Linked DNA regions of Drosophila melanogaster. The protein of the gene in region 3 interacts with the protein of the main gene of each other region in a pairwise test. Each region holds a gene or a part of one and is shown on either strand. Other genes may lie near its edges.

Evidence for each region.
Region 1: the proteins of CG11286 (region 3) and Rbp6 interact in a two-hybrid assay, tested with the Drosophila melanogaster proteins (one large-scale study listed by BioGRID).
Region 2: the proteins of CG11286 (region 3) and CG15822 interact in a two-hybrid assay, tested with the Drosophila melanogaster proteins (one large-scale study listed by BioGRID).

The regions. Positions count from the first base shown.
Region 1 is NT_037436.4:17,233,772-17,241,775, forward strand, and holds the start of Rbp6 (RNA-binding protein 6), read right to left. Parts: upstream 4,442-8,004; 5' UTR 4,061-4,441; intron 2,292-4,060; 5' UTR 1,667-2,291; coding exon 1,581-1,666; intron 1-1,580. Other genes in the region: Afg3l2 (AFG3 like matrix AAA peptidase subunit 2), read right to left, coding at 5,340-6,837, 6,892-7,287, 7,446-7,948. UniProt on the Drosophila melanogaster protein: RNA binding protein that regulates the expression of target mRNAs at the translation level. May play a role in the proliferation and maintenance of stem cells in the central nervous system.
Region 2 is NT_037436.4:2,160,586-2,168,589, reverse strand, and holds the start of CG15822 (uncharacterized protein), read left to right. Parts: upstream 1-4,726; 5' UTR 4,727-4,850; exon of another isoform or gene 4,851-4,899; intron 4,900-6,660; 5' UTR 6,661-6,792; coding exon 6,793-6,959; intron 6,960-7,771; coding exon 7,772-7,967; intron 7,968-8,004. Other genes in the region: CG15879 (uncharacterized protein), read left to right, coding at 1-819.
Region 3 is NT_033777.3:7,767,715-7,775,515, forward strand, and holds CG11286 (uncharacterized protein), read right to left. Parts: upstream 4,043-7,801; 5' UTR 3,987-4,042; coding exon 3,679-3,986; coding exon of another isoform or gene 3,678-3,678; exon of another isoform or gene 3,620-3,677; coding exon 3,497-3,619; intron 3,438-3,496; coding exon 3,293-3,437; 3' UTR 3,146-3,292; downstream 1-3,145.

The DNA.
Region 1 (8,004 bases), on a different chromosome or scaffold from region 3:
CATTGCGTGTTCAATGGATTGCGACGGCTGTCCGGGCCATATGGCTGTACCTATGGGTTTTTTTTTCTAGATTCGCAGCGATTTTCCAATTTTGTGCTGGCTTTTTTCCCTGGGCCACTGCAATGACAAAGGGCTTATATGGCTCGAATTGGCATAGAGCAGTTGTGGAGCCCTCCTCGGCGCTTCTCATAAAACTTACCTAAATAGCCAAAATTTTTTAAAGTTCATGAAGCAGGAAAATTTCATCTATCTATCTATTCTAGTTTTAGAAATATAGTTGAAATTTTCATCATTTGAACTTCAAGCCACAACAAAATTGCCATTCACCATAAAAAAATTTAAAATAAATTGCCAACTGATATTATAATTATTTGCTTCTTATTCTCATTTTAATGAATTAAACTAATTTTTGTGAAAATGAATTTGATTTATATTGCATGCTGAACTTAAGTGGCTGACTGATAAATTATTACTTAATTTAGAGTATCAATTTTCATTGAATAGGAGCCAATTGCCAGATTCAATTTGAAAATAAAGTTTTCTGTGAAATAGTTCACCTTTTTGTGAATTTCTAATCATCATACATCTTTTTTTGGATTTCCATTCAACTGAAAATATTACATTCTATGCGAATTCGAACAAAACGACGAGAGCTCCCTATTCAGTAAATTGTTCACTTTATGGGCTGCGTCAAAAGTCCGCTCCACCACTACCTTCAATCAGTTCACTTGGCTGCCAATTACCGGATCATCCATTTGCTAGTCCGACTTTCTGACAGCCAAACTGCACCCCCGACCACCAAGGAGACTACTGCAAACCGATGCAAATTATCAGCAATGCAGCTCGCAATTAATCTACTGCATATGACACCGCAATCACAACTTAACCCATTTTGGCACAAGTATAAATTTTGAATGAGGGGCTGGGAAGCTGGAAGCTGGGGAATCGGACTGATAATAAACTGTTGCCGGAAGGATGAAAGCGAGTCGAGGGCAGCAACTGCATTGCACTAAAGCACTAAGCCGAATGGCTTTAATTGAATTTTGATGTCCTTGGCAAATTGTTTTCTAATTAGTTTCGCAGACTTGGATCCCCAGCTGGGCCATCGTCCATTTCTGGCCGCTTTCGGCCAGTTCCGGACCCAGTTGACATAGAAAACTTTCTGTCAACAACTATAACTGCCTTGACACCGCTCCCCAGGACACGCTCCATTCGCTTCCGGCGCCCTGCGCTTCAATAATGACAAACTTAAAACTTAAACAATTAATGCCACGTCCATGACCTCAAACTAAATAAAAAAGTTCTCGTCCAACTCGACAATGCGAAGTTTGAATGCCCTTTTCTCGAAAAATCTAAGTTAGGGTCTTAGGAAAATATATTTTAATTATGATTTACAGAACTGAAATATAAATTTCGCACATCCTTTTAAGGATGGTGATTTTTAGTGCTTGTAGAGCGAAAGTAATATAAATAAATCGAAGTAAATCTTTTTCTTCTCAAGTTGATTAAAATATATTCTCTACTTTCTGAGATACCCTTTCGCTAGGGTATACATGTACATATAAGAGCAGCACACTTACCCGGGATCATTGGGCACCTCCGAGGGGGAACAGGGTCCCAGCTCCACTTGCTGTTGCTGCTGCTGCTGCTCAATCTTGATGTCCATGTTGGGGGTTTTGGCTCGGGATTGAGATTGAGTTGGAGCTGGAGCTGGTGATTGGAGTTTGCAGTTGGGGCTGAGCTGAGCTGATGTGGTCGTCTGGCTGTCTATTCTATAATTGTTGCTCCAACGCCTTCTGTGCGAGCATCGAGATGCGAGGGGAGGTCGAGTGGTTCTGTGCGGCTGAGTGGCTGTGTTACTGGGTGTTATGTGTGGACGGGGGATGCTGCTACTACGAGTTGGCTAACAGAGTGTTCCCTTAATCATTGGCCACGATGGCTGCTAGTTGGCTGTTCGATTGGCTGCCGGATTCCTTGTTTTCCATTTGGCCTGGCTTTGGTTGGCTTTCCCGCTGATTTTCCACGGCTTTTCTCCTGCTCTAGTTATCGTTTTATTTAGCTTGTTAATTATAATTTGGTTACATTGCACACATTGAATCACATTTCTTGGTTGTTTTGGTTGTTTTGGTTGCTTCGTTTTGCAGGCCACTTTTGGTTTGGTTTAAATATTATTGTGTATTTCGTAACTATTATTTCGTTTGTTGTTTAGACTTTAAGTTTTAGAAACGTTGCGTTAACTTTGGTTGTTGGTTTCCCAATTGATTTGAAGGCAACATATTACTGCAAAAGATCTGTTTCGTTGTGTTTGGTGAAAATTAATTAAATTGCAATTTTAAACTTTGCCCAGGGAAACTTTTGAAAATGCAATTTTCCCCTTCACTCGCTCCCCCTCGCCACTCCTCGCTTTCCCACCCATCCGCAGCTGCTGCACCACCCCCACCCACCCCCTAAAATGCAATGATTCGCAACGAACAATCGTAAAATGCAAAAAAGTGCAACCGATGTGGGAGCGATAGAGAGAGAGAGGGAGGAAAACCGTGGAAAAGCCAGGTGAGGAACGGGTGGGAAAAGGGGGGCGGTTAAGTAACGGCTGAGTGACAATTGGGATGCGGTACTAAGACTGTAAAAGATCTTTGTTTGAAATAAATTTGACTCACTTTACACATATGGCATGAGCCATCAAATTAATTTTCTTAGAATAGGCGTCTCATAAAAAATTAAGAAAACTAAATATAAAAGGTTAAAGATCCAAATGTTTTTCAAAAATTATAAGTATACGTGTTTACTTATTGTGAGCTTGTGTAATAATTATAAAATTCCAAATATTTAGTAAAAAGCTCTCTACTAATTTCATAAATTCCCATCGTTGTTAAATAATCTGAACGATTTTTAACATTAAAAAGGTTTTAAGTGACACTTTTTTTTACGCCAGAAACACCTTGGTTTCCCGAACAATTTTTCGGAAATTCAAAAATGCTGGCATCCAAATTTTATAGCTTTGAACTTTTGCTTGTTAAAGCAATTATTTTCCGTTGCTTTCTCTCCGAAATTATTCGCTTTCCTATATTTTGTGTGTGTTCTTTTTTGCATTTTCTGTGCTTAATACGCGCCTTGATTTTTCCCACACCCACAACAGCAGTAAAAGCAACAACAAATAATAGAAAAAGACAGAGATAGATAGATAGGGAGGTGCGAAAGGGCAAGAAGAACATTGCATGCAGTGACTCCCTCAACAAAAATTACAACAACGCCAGCAACAATATAATAACGCGCAGCATGCAAGCTTTCACGAACAGACACGCACACACACAATCGTACATCAGCACACACACACCCGCACAGGGAACATGCACCGTTACAACGAGAGCAGAAGTTAACTGGCGGCAGCAACAAACACGTGACCCGACAATTGCAATTGCGACAATTGGCAGCACAAAATAAAACAAAATAAACGATAAACTAAAACAGAGCTAAGAGAATCGCCGACAGGGGGCGCTCGATTGATCAGTAATCGAAGTTACCGTTACCGATGTCAGCCATTTTATAAAAGTGATCACAACGAAGATCTCTAATAAAAGGAACGAAAATATTAATCAAATTTAAATTTTATGTAATACACGTGTTTGTTGATTGATTTTACACTAATTGATAAGAGATATTTTGCTTCCTATCTTAAAGCAGAATAAATGCAAATGGCAAAACAAATTTAAATATAATTTTCTTGACAAAATAAATAAACATTAGCATTAAATTCTCCTCCTTGTTCTGTTCATCCTAATGGTCACCATTTGTCATAAATACATAATTTTAATTTTCTAAGAAATCAAACAAGAAGCCTAAAGGAAAGTCTCAGGAAAAATAAAATCCAATAAATCAAACATGAAATCGCTAGGGATTCTCTGCCGCTCTCTTTCTATCGATCAAGTATGGATGTTGCCGTTATTTTGCCGGCCGGCAGCCATTTTGCAGGAAAGATCAACACAAACGCAATGTGTTAGTGAGTGTGAGTGAGAGGGAGGGCGGGGGTGCGAGGGAGAGGTTTGCGCTTTAACTCCTCTACTTCAGCGGTTATTGTAGTTGATTGCAATTAAAATCGAATGCCGCGCACTGTTACTCGTTTTCCCTATTTTTTGTATTTTGTATTTTATATTATATAATCGTCAAATTGCACTCCACACAGCCATCGAGGTAAACAAAATGCAAAATGCCCTCCACAGCAGGGGTTTTCCTTTCGGGCCTCTCGGTTATATTGGTTTGGTATCTTGTACGCGATTTGGTAGTTGTTTTGGTTAAAACGCACGCACTCCCACGAGCGGTACGAACAGCTCTGAAATCGGGCGACTCGAGAGTAATATAGAAACTGCAACGGTTAGTGCAACGCTGGCGTTCCGCTTTTCTCAGTGCGCGCACACGAACGCGACAACCAACAAGACGACACTGAGCGGCGAGACCCCAAAACCCAACTGACGGCCCCAAAACGACCGGCGGCAGCGACGTCGACTGCACTGCTGCACTCTCTGCCTTCGCTGCTGTTGCTGCTGTTGTTGTTGCCGCTGGTGCTGCCCCTACGGAGCTTTGCACCGGCAGAGGCGCCGACTGCGGCAGTTGCACTATTTACCGGCTGCACATGGCGCATGTACTTCAGCATCACAGCTGATAAGTGATAAGCCGCAGCGAGGAAGAGTAGCCGGCGAAAGTTTGCGGAGAAAGCTTACCGAAGAGAGCGGCACTCTCTTAAACCGCGTGCAGCTTTAAAAGCTCACACTGAAAAAAATTTTAACCTGGCACTATCAGTCAACTTAAGAATAAAGCTGGCTATCCCAAAGTTAAGAACAAATTTTGCATTCCAATGTTATCATAACATTTTATTGTATGAAATATACATAATGAAGCAATACATTGTATGTATTTTGCAACTTTTGCTGTTTTCGAAAACGGGTTTAAACCGTAAGGCAGTAACAACACTGATTCGATTATTTTTCGCCTTGATAACATCGTTTAATTTCGCTTTTCCACACTGACAGGTCATTTCCATTCTTTATTGCCATTTTGAAACTACGCATACGGGGAATTTAGTACAGGCTAGCACTTAATTGCTCAACACGGGAACAAGTTATCCATGTGGGTATCTTAAAATTATGCAAAAACAATAATGAACGCGTCGTGGAGAACTGTAACTCCAGAAGGTCTAGGAACTCCTTGAGCCCTGCCTTCTCGATCTGCCACATGTCGGGGTTTTCTCCGGTCCGCGTTTAGGGATTACAACAAAAACAAACAGATGTCGGCACCCTCGAACTACCACACCAAAACTCCCCATCCACATGAGCGAAGATCGTTGCCTAACTGCTCTGGGCAGTTACGGGCTTGGTGGGCGGCGATGATGGCGTGCTGCCAGCGTCCAGAGGCTCCGTTCGTTCCTTTTCCTTGTTCCAGCTCTTGAGGCCTTCGGGCAGAGTGGTGTCCTCCTCGAAGGAGCCGGTACCCTCGACGAACTCCTCGTAGGTTGACTTCTCTTTGAAGGGTCGTGGGCCCAGCAGCTCAATCATATCATCACGGCTGAGCACTTCGTTTTGGAGCAGTCTTTCCGCCACTTTTTGAACATTCTCCTTGTGCTTGGTCAGCAGACTAGTGGTGGCCTCGTGGGCACATTTGATAATCGACCTCACCTCGTTGTCGATCAGCTGCGCTGTGTCCTCCGAGTATGGTTTGCTGAAAACGGGATCACCGGCCTGGCCCACATCGAAGCTGACCTGCCCGACCTTCTCGTTCATGCCGAAACGCACCACCTGGGAGTAGGCAATATCGGTGATCTTCTTTAGATCATCCTGAGCACCAGTGGTAATGCGATTAAAGAACAGCTCTTCGGCCACACGTCCGCCGAGCGTCATGCACATGCGATCGAACAACTGCTCCTTGGACAGCAAGTAGTGATCCTTGGGCAGATACTGGGCGTAGCCCAGACCCTTGCCGCGTGGTATAATCGAGACCTTCAGCAGGGGATCTGCGTGCTCCAGGAACCAACCGGCCACCGCATGGCCAGCCTCGTGGTGTGCCACCGTTCGCTTTTCCTCCGGCGCCAGAACATTGGTCTTCTTCTCCATGCCAGCGATAACACGCTCAATGGCCTGCTCGAAGTGCTTGAGTACGATCGAATCCTTGGAGTCGCGGGCGGCAATCAAAGCAGCTTCGTTGCAAACATTCGCGATGTCAGCGCCTGTGAAGCCTGGTGTCAGTGCAGCCATTTTTCTGCTCAGCTCGTTCTTGTCCAGCGACGTTTTCAGGTTACCCAGATGCACCTTAAAGATGCTCGCCCTGCCCTTAATATCAGGTGCTGGTACATAAATCTGTCGATCGAAACGACCTGGTCGCATGAGAGCCTTGTCCAGAATATCAACACGATTAGTGGCGGCCAGTACGACCACATTCGTAGTGGTATTGAAGCCATCCATTTCCACCAGAAGCTGGTTAAGGGTATTCTCTTGCTCCGAGTGGCCACCGAAGGTCTTGCCACCACGTTTGCGACCCACAGCATCGATTTCGTCGATGAAGAGGATGCAGGGAGCATGCTTTCGGGCCATGGCGAACATGTCGCGGACACGAGAAGGTCCCACGCCCACAAACATCTCGAGGAACTCGGATCCCGACACGGTAATAAACGGTACATTCGCCTCGCCGGCGGTAGCCTTGGCCAGTAGCGTTTTACCCGTTCCGGGTGGGCCAGTTAGCATGGCACCCTTCGGTATCTTGGCGCCTAAATCAATATACTGCTGCGGGTTCTTCAGGAAGTTAACGAACTCCATGATTTCGATTTTGGCCTCCTCGCAACCGGCAACATCCCTGTAAAGAATATAAAAGGTATTAGGTATGTACTGTGAAGTCTCGCCAACTTACTTGAAACCCACACCAATCTCATTGGGATTGGTTAGCTTTGCGGTGGACTGCATGACGCCACCAAAAAGACCACCACCCTTGCGCCCACGGCCTCCACCCATCATATCGGCCGACTTCCGCATCATATAGACCAGAAAGCCTATGATGAGCAACGTGGGCAGCAGACCCGTCAGACTGGCGGCCTCCACCTCGTTGCGGTAGATTACGGGCACAAAGTTGATGGATTCCGTTCCCTGCTCCGTCTGGGCTGCCTCCAGGTTTCGCTCGAAGCTATCGACACTGCCGATGTTGAACCACAAGACGCCGCTGCCGCTGTTGCTGTTCTGCTGCAGACGCACTCTCACCCACTTCTTGTTAACCACCTCCAGCTTCTCCACGACGCCCTTCGACAGGTAGCTGTTTTTGGGAAATAGAGATAAATATAATAGTGAGAATTGCAGTCGTATCACAACAGGCGAAAGATCTAGATCCATGGAATTATGTATATATTCCACAGCTTCTAGTTTCACATGTTTTGATCGAACTCTTATGCAACACGCAATGCTAGAACTCACCTGTTGACGAACTCCTTCCACGAGATCTCCTTGTAGCCCATCTCGAAGAAGGCGAACGAACCCACCAGGACGACGGCTCCGATGGCACCCAGAAGGATCCACCGCTCCCTGTCCCCGCCGCCACCGTTCTCGCCCAGAGGTCGTCCGCCCAGCGAGTTGCCTCCTTTTCCTGCTGGCCCCCTCGAGCTGTTGCTGAACATGCCGAAGTTCCAGTCCGATTTCGCGTCTGTTTGGGATCTGCTGGGTTTAACTGAGGCGGGTGTCGATGTGCTGGGCTTCTCCGAGGCGGATTTGCTGGAACCCGCGGGTGGCTTCTTATCGCCGACGGATCCCTTCGGTTGGCCAGACGACTTGCCGCCGGCTTCGAAATACTTTTCAAATCCCTTCGGCGGCTTTTTGCACAGCAGCTGGATCTGTTTGACCACGTAGCGCAGCAGGGGCGACAGCTCCGTGGGCAGGATGTAAACCCCGGCGCCCGTGGCACCCATGTGTGTGCGTTGTCCCTGCAAAAAAAAAAGGAGGGGGCATTAAAAACTTGGCTAGCCTTGTAAGTGAGGGA
Region 2 (8,004 bases), on a different chromosome or scaffold from region 3:
ATTCAGCCTGGAATGCACTACGCCGTCAACGATTACGTGTTAATCATTCCTCGAGTGATGAAGGAATACGGCTGGTCAAAGGTCTCATTGATGGGCCACTCATTGGGTGGCATCATTAGCTTCGTTTACACATCTTTGGCACCAGATACAGTGGACATGGTCATCTCACTGGACATATTGCTGCCCTTGTCAAAGGACCCCAAAACGGTTATTAAATATTTGAACCACAGTTTGGATAAGCACCTGGTGGAAGAGGAACGTCAGGTGGAGGGAAACCTGCACGAGCCTCCCTCCTACACCCTCGCACAGCTGACACAGGTCCTCGCCAAAGGAAGTGACAACTCGGTGACGCCAGAGTTTGCCCAACACTTGCTTCACCGGCAGGTGTCGAAGTCGCAACTCTATCCAGACAGATTCTTCTTCTCCAGAGATGGACGAGTTAAATACTACAGCCATTTGCAAATGGAACCCGAATTTGGTGAGGCGTTGGTGAAGCGAATTCGGAGAATACCCTGTTTGATCATTAAAGGGTCAAAGTCTGATTTTGTGGAAGCTAGAACCGAGAAGGCGGTTGCCATCTTACGTCAAAACAATCCGCACTTCGAGTTCTACGAGGTGGAGGGAGGTACCCACCACGTTCATCTTCATGCTGCCGAGGAGTGTGCCCGATACATAGTGCCCTTCATCCGACACCACCGACCCCCGGCACTCACTTCTTGGTCCTTGAGTGGCAAGGAGGAGCACCTAAGTGCCGAGGAAAAGCGGCGACAGCAAGAAAGATTCTTTAAAAGGAGCACACACGCTAAGAGCAAGCTGTGATGTATTCTTTATGAATCCCTATGGTATAAAATTCAATATTATATACTAATAAGATAGCTTCATAGGAATATCTAGAGCATATATAATGCATTGTTTACGTTAAATCGTACAAACATATATATATCTCAACAATTTTTTAAGGCTATGGTATTACAGCTCAGGTATAGCTACTAATAACTACTAATGAAATCAATAAAACAAGACTCCAAATAGCGGCTTTCAAATAAGTTTTTAAACTTTTCGCATGGCAAATCCTTGACGTCTTTAAATTAAAAGGACTCGTCTTTAAATTGCAAACCTTGTTTCCCCTACCTACTTACACTAAGTGTTCAATAATCGCTGCCAATTTCTCCAACTGCTGCGTAATTGTAGATTATTTCCTTAGTGACGCCAATGGCTCAGAAGGCATATATGCGAATATATATTTCCTCCATTCAGGTTCTTGTTAGAGAGTTTCCTACTCCCCCCCTGCTGTTATTCAACTTGCAATTTAAGCAATTTTAAGCAGCTTACAGCTTGAGCGCATTAGAACAATTAGCGCAGTCGATGCCACAGATATCGATGCCATGGAACAAAAAAAAAAAAAATTAAGCAGCATCCAATGCCAATAGAAATGATAGGTAGTCCTTGAAATGGAACTCAAAAGTATGGCAAGCTTAAATAGTTCAGAATCCGAGCTATAGCTTGTAATCAGCCAACCAAATGTATGCAAATTAAATTCCAAAAATTCCAGCGAAACTTTTTTGTCATTGGAAAAGTAGACTGCTTCATTGAAAATGTATTTTCCAGCAGGCGGAGTGGATTTTCGTTGCCTACCTTTAGGGCGACGCCTAGTAACGAAATGCGGGAAAATGCGATTATTAAGTGGGTGTGGAAACCGGAGTGGCATTTATTAATTTAAACACTTTGTTGTTACCCAGGAAGTTGTTGAATTTTAAACATTGGTATCGCATAATTTTCTTGTCATTTGTTTTGATTGGCCCATATTAAGTAGCTCCATTTTGTGTCATTGCTTGGCTGGCTAATTCAATCAATTAACTTTAGAGCGAAAAGTCCAGAAAATACAAGAAAATTCCCTCCTTACACACTATCGATTTTGCAATTTCAGAGAATCAAAACTGCACCCCACACATATGCGTACCGCATACACGTGGCATATTTCGCCTGTAATCAGAGACGCCACGGGGTTCCCACATTCATTTTTTGGCGCTTCGAAGGTGGAAGCCATAAAACCTTTACGGCATATGCCTAGATTTGCAAATTAAGGTGGGTTGGTCGACGAATCCCGACTGCCTGGCTGCCTGGCTGCCAAGCTGCCCGACTCGTGTGCACTCCAATTTCCTTTGAATGGGTGAGCAGCAACTCGAACGCTTTCCGCCTCCGATTTCAGCAACAATTTCTTTTGGTGTGATATTGGGTTAAGCAGCCTTAAAGAGGTTAAGGAAATCGTTTGAGGAACGACGGATCTGTTGGTGTTTTGGTTTCGGGTTTTCCTGGCTAATGGCCGGGAAAGTTGATGAATTCGCCGGGGCAACCTTGGGCGGCACTTAATGAAAGTGAAAGAAAGCCACCGTTTTCACTGGATTAACGTTTCTGTGAAATTAAGATTTACGGGAATTCAGCCAGGAAACTTGCGCATACCTTAAATCAAACTCGGTGTTAATTGCAAAAAGTCGCAAGAAATATTATTCCCCATTTGCGTTGCATGTTTTGAGCTAAATATATTCTCAAAAGCTCCTGTATAAAATTCAATGAATGAGGTAATTTACAAAAAAATAGAACGGCAAAAAAATATGAAATACAGTTGGATGAGAAAACCTAGTTAAATAAGATTTACCAACCATAAACTTTTACCGCAAACGGGAAAAGTGTTCAAGGTGAAGTCCGTAAATTTTGCCGGCAAACTTTAAAGCGATTCTGGAGCACTTTCGATGCGGCATGCATACGTCCAATAAACATCACCTGGCACTCCTTTAGACGGGCCCATAAAACGGCCAGAACTACCACACTAAATGATTTAAAACGAGCCACGGACTGCCGAGAACTGCTCTGCTCTCTCGGCCTGATTGAAATGAATTGGTGGAAAACCCTTAAACCGAATGAATTATGCAGAGGCCTGGCGTGGGGCTTAATAAACCAAACTTAACGAAAACTGTTTAAAATGCGAGCCGGCCATCTCGAATATTTCCAGCTCGGTGCAATAAATCTGGGGCCACAAACTGCACTCGATTGCCCTGCCACATGCAACGTTCCCGCTTTTCTCAGCCAAAACGTGTGCGCAATTTTCGCAATTTTCTAATAGCCGTTAAAGCTGTCGGTGGGAAGGGATCCATTCCTCGTTCTCCACCAGTAACATTAACAAAAACAAAAATAAAAAGGAAAACAGCAGCTTTTCACGTCCGATGATGCCCAGTTGCATGACTTCTTGTTTTTTGCTCGAACGGAAGTCCTTTCGACGCCATTTTGCGGTCGGCTATTGCAATTGAGTGCAGCCCCGACTTCATCAGCTTCCAGTTCCGTTCTCCTCAGCCCCAGGGATCCGGATCCCTCGAGGAGCTCAAGGATACGTGCCCGGGCACTCTGGCACGCACTTTAAGTTTCATTAAACAAAACCATCGCGCCTAGGCCTTCGAAGATTGCCTATAAATTCATGGAAGTCAGTGAAATGGAAAGCAAAATCTATGGCGGACGCAATTTGGTACAGTGTGCTGTCGGAAAACAAGATCGATACTAAAATTCCAAATGCTGATACAAATAAGAGTAACTAGAATAATGAATTTTTTTGTTACATTAAAAATGTTTTTTTTTCTTGTTCGTTAACTTTTAAGTCATCTTTCGAAGCTTCACTGTATTTCTCGCCGTTTTCCGACGCTGCTGACACAGCAGTGGAAATCCGTTTGCATTTCAGTGAGTCCAGGCTGTCGGGTGGGATTCCTATTGCCAGACCCACATTCCTTGGACGACCATTAAATCTGCAACAATTTACTTGTGATTGACATGTTTATAAGGGTCGTAACCCACAGAACCCCTTCCCTAGACCATTTTTCCAGGGAGTGACCCTTTTCTGGTGGAGATGTTTGTTTTTGTCCCCTTTCATAAACGAGTGAAGCCTAAAACGGTTCTGGACTGCTCCTTTTTTTCATTTATCACGCAAAGAGAAATAAATCTTTGATATTTGTGCTGTCAAGGAAGCATACTAAATATCCTTCTGCACTTTCCAGTACTTTTCCTTGGCGAGGCGGAAGATATTGAAGTGGACAACAATTCGTGGCATTGTCTGAAAACTCTCAGCACACACAATTAAAAGTTCCCACGTCAAGGGATACATGAATAAAACAACAAAACGAGTGCGTGAGGAAGAAAACATAACTGAATCGAACGGATAATACCCTAAAAAACAGAGACAGATATTAGTGAATTAATTAGGAATAAAAATCACAACTTATCAACTTTAGAACTCGTATTTGAATAAACTTTCCAAATGAACATCCATTTAATTGAATTCCCACATATAAAACTCTCTTGCCAAGTTCATCATACCCATAAAAGTAGAAAAGAAGTGGAAGCAATGAAAATAAAAAAAAGTGTTCCACAGAATCTTCGATATCTCCATTGGCGGACAAAACGCGTGTTTTGTTTTAATTTTGCACTTGGAAGAAGAAAAGAAATCCCAACCGGTTTTCAAAGGCGCCCCCCTAAAAAGGGCAAAACGTGCGGGTAATCATCAGCCAGCGCAGTAAAAAATGAAAATACGAAATACTACATACAGTTCACGATCAATTGAAATGCAACAAAAAACAGCTGACATGCAAGCAACTGCAACTCGAACGCACTTCGAGCCGCAACTCGAACCGAAAAACCAGGTTGGCACCGATCGTGGCTAAGATCGAAACAAAGTTTGGAAACTTTCAGTTGAGCGCGAGAATTCCACGCGGGCGGACGGGGCGGATGAACGATATCGGTGTCTTGTCGGTTTTATTCTGGTGTCGAAAAGAGCGATAAGAACTGAATTCGTTTCGAAATACTGAGAAGTAAGACACCAAAACGATAAGGAGTCGCCGCTCTGCATGTTAAAACCAAGTCGAGTTACTTCACATGGAACAACACGCAAAATGAACTAAAAACTCATTTCGAAACAGCTGAACACATTTGTCAGCTGGTTAAACAAATTTTGTGTGGAGAAATGCTAATGAGTTCCGTTGCTGTTGCCGCTGAACTTTTCAATTAATTTAACAGCCCATCGTCGTTGGCATAGATCTTATCGCCATATCATAAAACAAAAAAATAAAAGCCCAGCCGAGGAAAACAAAACCCAAAAAAGGTTCTCAAGAAAGTTTAACGAAATTGAAAGAAAACAACACAGCAGCTCAAACGGTTTTTGTTGCTGCCATCTATTTTGGAAGCGATTTTTTCTTTTTTTAGGCCGAAAGGTGCGCCCGATTCCAAAGATTCGAGGCATTACGAGCCCCGCGGGGTTCTCAATTTTCAGCTACCCTTTTCGTGAGTTTTTCGCTGAGCTCAGTGGGATATAAAAATATAGACATAACTCTGCTCATATTTGCAAGTATTTTTCGTACTGACATTTGAAACCAGAAATATGTATGCCCCATCCCAGAGTTGCTGCTGCAAGGTTGTTTTTTTTTTACCTGTCCTCTGCCATTAATTGAAATCCAATGCGGAAGGGGCGTAGTAAAGTGCATTGAGAAGGGGTTTTTGGAAGGGGGCCAACCGACCGCTAGGCTATGACAATTATTACAGCTTCCCAAAAGCGGCCAAAGAAACAGGTTGCTCTCGCTCCTGCCATCAAAAACTCGCAGTAAAGCCAAGTAGTGCAAATTGGTTAGCATAGAACATAGAACATAAAACATAAAAAAGGGGAAAGGAAGTTGGGCCTGCAGTACCGGGTTTTAAATACACTTTATAAGGCAGAAAATCAAAAATATACCATAATTTAAATAAGTGCCTGCTGCAAATGTCACTTTCTATAATAGCAAAGCTGGTCTTATATAACTAATCTAATCTATAATTTCTATCAAAACATATATATATCAAGACAAGAGTTAAGCAGATCTCCGAATACTCTTTGGTAGAGTAAAGAAAAAGCGGAGCAAGATGGGGCTGACTGAGAGACAGGAAAAGAGGCATCGACCACTTACGCATAACTGTAAGATAGACTGGCAGCAAACAGGATTTCTGGCACGTACTTCTGGCTCACAAGTGAAAGAATTACTTGGCTCTTTTCCTCCTCTATGTAGCATATATTGTACATACCATATAGCGTTTGGGTCTGCCGCGCCCCTTATCAACCGACAAATTAAGTTCAAACTGCTGCTGCTGGCCGGCATGGAAAAGAGCTAAAACTCCAATTTGTGTCAAAATACTCATGCGCAAAAATGGAATTTTTCCATTAGGCCAGAGAGACCCAAACTGAAAAAGCCAACAAAAAACTCCTAAACTAACATGAAAACAGTGAAAATCATGTGGAGAGACTAGCTAGGCACTGAGAGAAATTGAGTAGATCGTAAAAGTATTTTACAATAATGCCATTCGTAGTTAAATGAAGTAAGCGCTGGTTGCTTCGTTTAAATGGCCTGCAGCTATTTAAGCCAAACTATCGTTTTAAGGGTATGAGCATTTTCCTCAGTGTACCAGACTAAAGTAAAGTAAAGGCAACCAAAGTTTCAGGCTGCAACTTGTCAAACGTGTTCCCCAACAAAGTCTCGCGGCATTTGGAAATGTGCAGCATTGTGCAGCGGCAAGAAAAACAGCAGCAGCAGCCACAGAAACGAAAACAACTCGCATAACTGTGACTTGTATTAATTTTCAAGCTTTTCCAAACAGCCAACTGCAAACAAAAAGAAAATCCTAATACCGCGTTGTCTCAGCAGCAAAATGTTCGCGGCGACAAGAGGCTCAATTAGCATTTAGAAAAGCCGCATCGTCATCGCGATCCCATCATTAAACTCCCTATAGATGGAGGAGGACGTGCTGAACGCCCTGCAGACGCGGAGTGCCTACTTATCCGGCGGATTCGATCGCCAGAAGCGCATCGTCTTCGTTGTCAACGCATTCAACGATCTGCAGCTGTGGAATCGCCGCTATCTGCAGGTGACTCTGGACTATCTGAAGCGGTCTCTCAGGTGAGAATCGGGAATTAAGTGGTATTAGGCATTTGCCATTAGGCACAGAAACTTTAGAAACCGGCAGTGGAAATGCCGACGATTCATTAGCATATGGCCGAAATATGCAAATAGCCCGCAGATGATGAAGGTTCATTTTTTGTCGTCTTTAATGCATTACTTTTCATTAGACACGGCTCTCTGGGAGGGGTCTTAAAACGGGTCTCGAAAAGCGGAAAACACCTAACAAAATCTGGTTATTTATATGCTAAGTGTCAGATATTTAAAGCCAACTAAATAATTTAAAGTTTCTGAAGTCAGATGATTTGTCTTGAATGGAAAACATTGTTAATATCCACTTACATATATTACTTCAGAGTAACTTGATACAAAGTTCGGTCAGTTTAAGCACACTTTCATTTTATAAACACACTTTACAAGCAACATATGTAAAAATAGTAGTAGCAATAAATGTACCCTCTTAAAAACCTTAAGATAATTTATGAAAATTATATACCGTTCGTAACCTATTTAAACAACTACCTATGGGCTTTACGCCCTTCTTTTGTTATTTCCCATTTAAGTTTGTTTATTTATTGGCACAACAAGCAAATTGTTTAAGTTTACGAGGTAGGCATCAAACAATCTTTTAAATACAGGGAAGAAGCCACATGAATTATGGATATATTGATTGTGATCAATCAACTGGCAGTTCCCCTGAAAAAAGAGTGTCTGATTAAAGCCAAATCCTAACTGGCAAGCTAATGAAGCGCTTAAAGACGCTTTCCTCCAGTCCCAAACCGATTAACCAACTTGACATTAATCTCTTTCAGCGCTTCGGTGTTGCAGAATGGCGTGAGTGTGGTGGTCAATGCCCAGGAGAGCAGTTCGCGGATATCACGGCAGCAGGTGCGACAGATTTACGCCCTCTTCGGGGGCGACATCAATGTGGATCTGTATCTAGTCAGGGCGGAGGGCTTCTGGGAGAAGCATGTGGAGCCGTGCACCAAGTCCCAGGTCAAGGGAGAGGTAAGCTAATAGCTTAGGTTGGACACAACTCAAGAAG
Region 3 (7,801 bases):
TGGCAAAGGAATGACCACCGAGTCGCAGAACGGCTTGTAAAGGGAGCGACAATATAATTTAAATTTATTTAACAACCGACTTGTTAAAACCGCAAAGCGAGAGGGATGGGTTCGGGTCTAGTAGGAAGTGCACCACAACAGCATTAAGTAGCTCATTAAATTTCCTTAACCAACAGAACACAACACAAACAAGCCACTGGCAGACCAACTGACTTTTCGTTCTTATTTTGTAAGTAGGAAATATTATAGTAGAAAAACGGCGCCAAAAGAAATGAAATCGCCTGAGAAAGTGGAGTGGGCGGATGTGGGGGCGTGGCGGCGGACAGCCTCAAAGCGAGCGAGCTGTAAAAAACGCCGTAAGTGTATTTTTATTGCGTATAAAATGCATTTTGCAATGCCACACAAAATTCAAGTGGTGTGCGTTCTGAGCGGAAGTTACGACCAGCGAGCTAGGACCACAGGCACACACACACACACACATACACAGACAGACACACAGGCGGTTTTGCGGCTGTGGTGGTGAGTGCTTATGTGTGCGCCACGAAATCTTGATGTCGGAAGTTATGGACTACGAAATTAAGGAAATCGCAGGAAATTTCTTACTCCAGCTATAGCATTTTTTAAATAATATTCATGTGGAGCAGGGCAATCAAGCGGAAGTAACATAAATGAAGAAATATATAAATATTTATTGTTATTAAAAATTTATTTAACACTGCGCAAGTAGAAAGTTATTAATCGTCTGAGTGAACTTGTACTGAAATGTGTAACTTTAATGATAATGATACAAATATTCAAACCTTCAAAACATAAGAAAACACCAGCCAAGCACTTAAGTGCGTAACAAATATTCAAGATGTACATTACTTACACTCAAGTCCCCAGCAGAACTTAATCATACTTTCCCCAAAGCAAACTGCTTCAGCCAGTGCAAATACCCCAGTCAAGAAAACAAACGAGTTGGCAAGCAATGATTGCTCAGCATTGCTACTTGTTGTTAAATATGTTGCACAAACAAACAACATTCATTACCCCGGCAAGTGGGTTTGTGCGTAGGGAGTGGGGCAGAAATGAAGGATCGCTACGTGAACGCTGGGAAATTGGCTGCGCAGCGTAAAAATCGGATGGTATTGCCAAAAGGTTAAAGCTAAACGCGGGACACGAAGTCTGAAAGGTTGCGGTGATGGAGTCGCGATTTACACCTTGTTTAAGTTCAATGTTTACTCAAACGAGGGTTACCCAGTGCGTATGCGTGATAAATATGCTAATGCTTATCCTTTGGGCGTGCTTAATGTCGATCATGTTCAATGAATAAAAACAAATGGCTATCCATTTGGTATGATTTACGGAATACGCATTTCTCTTGGAGTAATCAATGAATATTAAACAATCCCCTTCGTTTAATACTCATCTACTTGTATTGATTTGACAAAATACGAAATATGTATTAACGTGAAATGTATAATCCATATATATATATATTGGGTCGGATAATAATAATAAAACTCTACTGAGCGCACCGCTGTGTCGGAGCAGTAAGCATTACATTTAACCGAGTGTGTGGTCCAAATCCCATTGAGCCACTGGTTACACAGTGCGTATGGGTAATATAAATCCATTGCTTTACGATGTGGGCAGCCTGCGACTTTAAGTTATGCATAAGTTTGTCCCTTTTATGTCTTTTTCCGACACTCTTTTCGAGCACTATTAATTATAATTTTTTCTGCCGGCTATTCTGGCAACATATGTATGTATGGGCACGGACAGGGGTGTCGGCCAAACATTTTTAAAATTATACGTATCAAAAAGAGAGGGAGCGAGCAGACACGGACACGGATACGGACACGCTCACATGTGCCGGAAATTGGCGCACACCTTGCAGCCATGCAGTGGCAGGAATTTTTTCCATAAGCATCATAAAACCAGGACTGACCGGACGATGGTCAGGCCATTGGGTATATGGAATGGCGGCGTAAACGGGGCTGGGGCGGCTCAGCATGCGGAAATTATAATTTATAGCTGTGAGCTGCGGATGCCAGAGCTTCACAGTGATTTTTTTTACCCTTAGCCCTTGCGAGGGCTTTCTTCCCGGAACCGACTTTAAAATCGCTGGAACTTTGGCATTAATTGAAGTTGGCCATCGAGGTTGAAAGCCCACTCGAGCATGAATTAGCGTCTATGGGATGACAGTTTCCAAGTGTTGGGGGCGCCGAAAAGGACGCAAGGATGTTCTTCAGTTTTTAATTTAATATCGGGTGATGCGTGAATTGGAGCGGAAAATATTCCTAGTTTGCTTAGCCTGAGCTAAATTCTTGCAAAATGATTAAATCCCTGTATCCTTGTGTCTAATGCCTGTAAATTGATAAGTCACATTGAAAACAAATATTTGATTTAATGACAGGCCTGAATGCATTCACAGCTCCGATTTCAAATTGTGAAACCTTTGCAAATTACCCTCGGCTGACCAGTTATTCATGGTTGTTTATTTTTTGTGGCCTATGCGAAAACCAAACAATAAATCGAAACTCTATTTGATTAATTTTAAAGAAGAAACTCAGCCAAGGGCATAACTGAATTAAAGAGCAAATTCACATGGCGTTTCTGGTCATTGTTCACTGCGTAAACATTTGTAAATTTGCTCTTTTTCAGGTGTATACACGGTGCAAACAAAACTCGACTGAACGGCTAAAAAATGGTCATAAAATAGCATTTGACAAATGACGCACTTCCTGTCAACGCACACAATCACAAACGCATACAATCACACACGCACACATTTATCCCTTATCGGTAACTTGTAAAAAGAGGTCGAAACAATTGCATTGCTTTTAAACATGAATCTGCTCACATAGTTACACAGTTTAACAATATAATAATTCATTGTTTGAATTTATTTATGAGCGCAGCTCAAATATTTAATATGCACAAACGGCAGTTTGTTTAAATGTAATTTAGTGGAATAATTAAACAAATGCGGATTTTATTCAAAACTATTTAGTTGCTGTCCGATTGACTAACCTTTTTGTAAACGAGATCCTATTAAAATTTAACAAGTAATCATAAAATACATTTTCTTACAGTTCTTACGCCAGCCATCCAATTTGTTAGCTCACTAACTTTGCAGCGAAATTATAAAAAAGGCTTTAATTGCATAATTAAATTTATTGGCTGTACAATTTTCCATAAGGTAATTTTATCAGTTTTGCAGAGAATAATTGCAAAATTAAATGAGCTAATTAAACCATTTCCAAGTGGAATAAAAAGGCTCATTTACTTTGCAATTGGATCAGTTTTAGCAACCCAGACTTAAATCCGTTTTCAACAGATACTCGACGCGACGTTTTTCCTTAGGAGGCAGTTGAAAGAATTTTGAGACAAAGTTATTCAGTTCCCTCTTTGTATGCAGTGGGGGCCACATTGTTTTATAGCACAGGATTCTAGAAAAGCCACGAAAGTCCCGGTTAATTTATGTTATCATTTCTAACTTTTAGCTTACTTCTTCAGGAAAAACTGGTCGCAGATATTGCGTTGATTGGCAATAATGTGCTCCATTTCGTGAAGGAACTGCCTATCATATTTCGCTTTGGAGTCCAGATACCGCACATAGCAATTAAGATCGCTGGAAATAATGGTGTGTCAGGAAACCTAAGTAACTCAGCAAGTTCTTTCTTAACTGACTACTGAAAGTGCTTTATATCGTAGCTGGGATGCAAACTGGCATCGGCCTCGTCGTGGAACTTGATCCTTGGCTCATACCACTCGTCGAGCTCCTGGAGACGATGGAACTCATATCGGGAAGCAAGTCCTGACAAGGAAACCAACGAAGTGGTCTTCGTCCTAGTCAGGAATTCCTCCACTTTCTTAGCCTTCTCCTGGGCCTTGGCCACAAACTTCGCGTTGAGGCGGTGAACTGGTACATTTTTACCCCGCAGGACATCTCCCGCTGAGGGGATCGACTTAATGGTTACAAGGCTCGTCGCGGACATGTTGAAAATTTGATACTGCTCTTGGGAAACTGGAGATTTTTGAGATATATTAAATGGCTTATTTATGCGGTGACTACTTTGATTCGACAATTAACGCTTTAATAAATACGCCACATAGTTGTCACCGTCAACAACATCTGAGTCCTTGGGGAATTATTGTTTTAAGCCGCTGGTGTTTATAAATATACATGGAAACAGCCGAGAACATCATGAGGATTCATCAGACGATATATGGAAAGGGGTCAGGCTGCTGTATTTTATTTACACGGCCATTCACATTGGCATTTCAAAAATCATTCATTAATTTTTTAATTCAACAATCAGGCTGGTTCAAAGTGGCGTGGAATAAAAACCAAAAAAGGAATCTCTGTAATAATATCACATGCAATTATTGCAGGCAATATGCATGCAATTATGCTAAAGGATATCCATTGTAAAAAAAACTTTGCAAGTGAGCCCGAAATAGAGTTGCGAACTCGAAAGTTCTCAATGCGATTGGATAGCCTTTGTAATTATGATGTCCCTAAAAAAATGAAAAACTAACAGGGCCCTGTTCGAACTTTCATTGACTTATTTGTACCCTTAATAATGGTCCCTCCTAATAATCTATGAGGAGTAGTGCGACTGCTAATCTACCCACATTTGCACCCATTATCCAGGTGTGGTCGAAAATTATTCTCAAAAAGATTCCACACATTTTCGCGCCATTAAACATGCATTCGCGCATTTAATTTCATTTTTTGAACCGCCCGAGTTGACGGAACAGAGCCATCAGCCGGACCACAAGAGTGGCCCACTGAAGGGGGAATAGGAGCTGCCGCCGACAGGAGAGTTGGCCAATGTTTGCACAGCAAAAACATGGCCCAAAACGCTGGGTCTATTAAGAGCACATTTGACCAAAGTCGGGGCTCCGGCACGTGTGCAATGAAAACAAACGAGCCCATTATTGTTACACTTTTCTTTGGCAACCGGCCGCAGAGACCATTAATGATGTGTTATGGCCTCAAGAGGCCGGCCTAGCCGATCCTTGAACTTTGGCCAGGCAGAGCCTGTGAATTGAACTCTAATTGCAGATAATGAATTGCTCGCATTAGGTCAACGAACAGTCGTCCGGATTGCCGCAAAGTGCCTAATGGAAATGCAATGAACTATTTATGGGCATAAGTAGCCAGCAATTGGCTGACTGAAGTTTGATCACGCACTGGGATTATTAATGCCGAGACAGGTCGACTTCCCTTTAAAGTGCTCATCTCATCAATTTGTGGATGTTTTCCCTTGGCCTTTTGGCCAACCGTCATTTTGGTCGCCACAAAATTGACAGCAGCTTTCCCACAGCGCGTAATGACAAAACAGTGACTAAAATGTTAACAACAAATCCAATTTATTTCACCGACCGGCCTACGAGGGACATTAATTACCAGATGGATCACGTATAAGGTATTAAATGCAAACTCAATCTGCCAATGGGGAAATGGCCAAATAACAGAGTGGTTGGTCAAATCTGGGCACACAAACTAACACAATCTGCTACTAATTCCCACAAACTGCATTTAAAGATAGCGGATTTCATTTAATAGAATGTGTTCACCGCCATTGATAATATTAATATAAATATAAATATAAACGTCATTCAGAAAAAGCGTTAAACAATAAACAATAAACATTGACAATGGTCGATGGTCAACGAGAGTGTAAACAACAAGATTTACTGCCATATGCTAGGGGATTACGGGTGTAATTGTACGCCACTTCGAAATGACATTGAACCAGACATGAAAATTGATTTTGGGCCTGATGCCGAGTCCATTACGGAAATAAGTTTGCTGAGCACTCGGACCATATTTTCAAAAACATTTGTTTATTGGGCAATTATTTTACTGGGTTGCCGGCGGACTTCGCCCCGGCAGAATGAAACAATTTCACTTATGCACAAGTATTTCATATTGTCACAAATTCATTTTCATTTCAAGCCCTCGCTCCAGTGTCCCCAAAATTCAGCAATCCAGACATAATCTCTGTCAAGCCCACACACATTTTTGCACAGATGTTTGAGCAACTCAACTGAGACTTTAGAGACTTTGCTGCTTCCTTCATTGTTAGTGGGTCCATGGTCAAGTTTTAATTTATTTGATGACTGCGAAATTGTGCACCTTCTTCTCCAGTGGAGGAAGTCCCAGGATGACTTCTGTATAGTTTTGCAGGCAATTAATTTCAGCCATGGCTCCGAGCATTATTCTCCTCGAGGACGACATATTTTAATTTGATGAAGACCTAATAGGGTTTCGAGCATATGTTTCACTGCAAAACTTGTGAGAGGGAAAAACTTTCAATGCAAATGAGTTGGCATATGGCTCAACTGTCACGACAACTATATACGACAATGGCGTTTCGGATGAGGATTTCTATAAGCCGAAGATTTCGCCGCTATGAGTTCTAAGGAATCGGCTGGAATTGGGTCGAAAACATTCGTTGGAACACCGCCCCACATTCCACTGAGTCATCAGGTTAATTCAATTTGAGTTGTAAGCAAATTTTGCACAAATGAAATGCACAAACTTTTGCCATTGACAGACACACACGCCAACCAAGAGCAATAAATTTCCAAAGTGTTTATGTAAACGACCCGATTGCTGTGCAGAAACAGAAAATGAAAGCCGTCGTCTGGCTGCACTTTGTCACCAGGCATGCGGAACATAATGCCGATTTTTTCGCCTGGAAAATGGCTGGGCGATAATAAATCTTCCGCTTGGAACAAATCACAGCAATTCCATTATGTACACATTTAATGATGTTGCCAGCCAAAGCCGCCAAATCCGCATCCAAATCCAAAGCAACGAGCCAGAGACAATTACTTGCAGCCCGCGAGCATTTTCTACGACTTATGCAGAGAGAAAAAAGTTTGTCTACTTAAATTGGAAATACGAAGTAATCCTTCCGGGATTAAAAAAAAACCTCAAACTGAAAAACTGAGAAACTGAGAAACAAAGCAGGAATAGAAATTTATAAAATGTTTGTATGTAGGTAGCTAAGGTGACTTAACAAAGTACATTACTAAACTTTAATTGACTTAATAGACTAATAGACTACGAGTAAAAAAGAGTCCCTGGAGACAAAATGCTCGGTTAAAAATATTTACTACATTTTTTCCAAGTGTCCATGGTGCAAATGGTTCTTAGGTTCCTTAGTGAGTGCAGCAACATGGCCAAGTTGTTAAAATAATCACAAGAAATGGCCGACCAGTTCGGAAATTTTCCCCTGGGCAGAATAGGAGAAGCATAAGGGGTTGGCCCACTGAGGCAAAGACAAAGTTGCAGAGCAGCCCTGCTATTGCGATTATTTTTAATTAGCAAAATTTCTTTATGCATTGACAGTGGCAGAAGGGTAACGGCAAAGTCTTTCATTAATTAGAGCCACTCGCAAAGTATGCAGCTTTTTGTTGTCTTAATAATCCTGCAACACTGAAAAGGCGAAAACGGGGAGCTACACCCACATGTGGGCACCAAACTTTCACACCTGCCAAGCCTCAACGTCATCTCCTCTGCTTTATACTTACCCATAAATCTGCCACGAAATAGAACAGCCGGCAAAAAGGCAAAAAGGACGGCGACGGAGTTTTCCCCCGGGAAAAATATTTCCACTGAAGCTGCTTATTAGCTTTGACATTCGAGTGCGATGCACTCTGGACGAAAGGTGTTTCGCTTGATGTTTTGCAATCTACTTTTTATCATCCACATATACATCATTTTTTAGGGGCCGCATAAAACATAACGCAGAGTGTGATGGGGACAGCATAATTTATCACTCGCTACCATGCA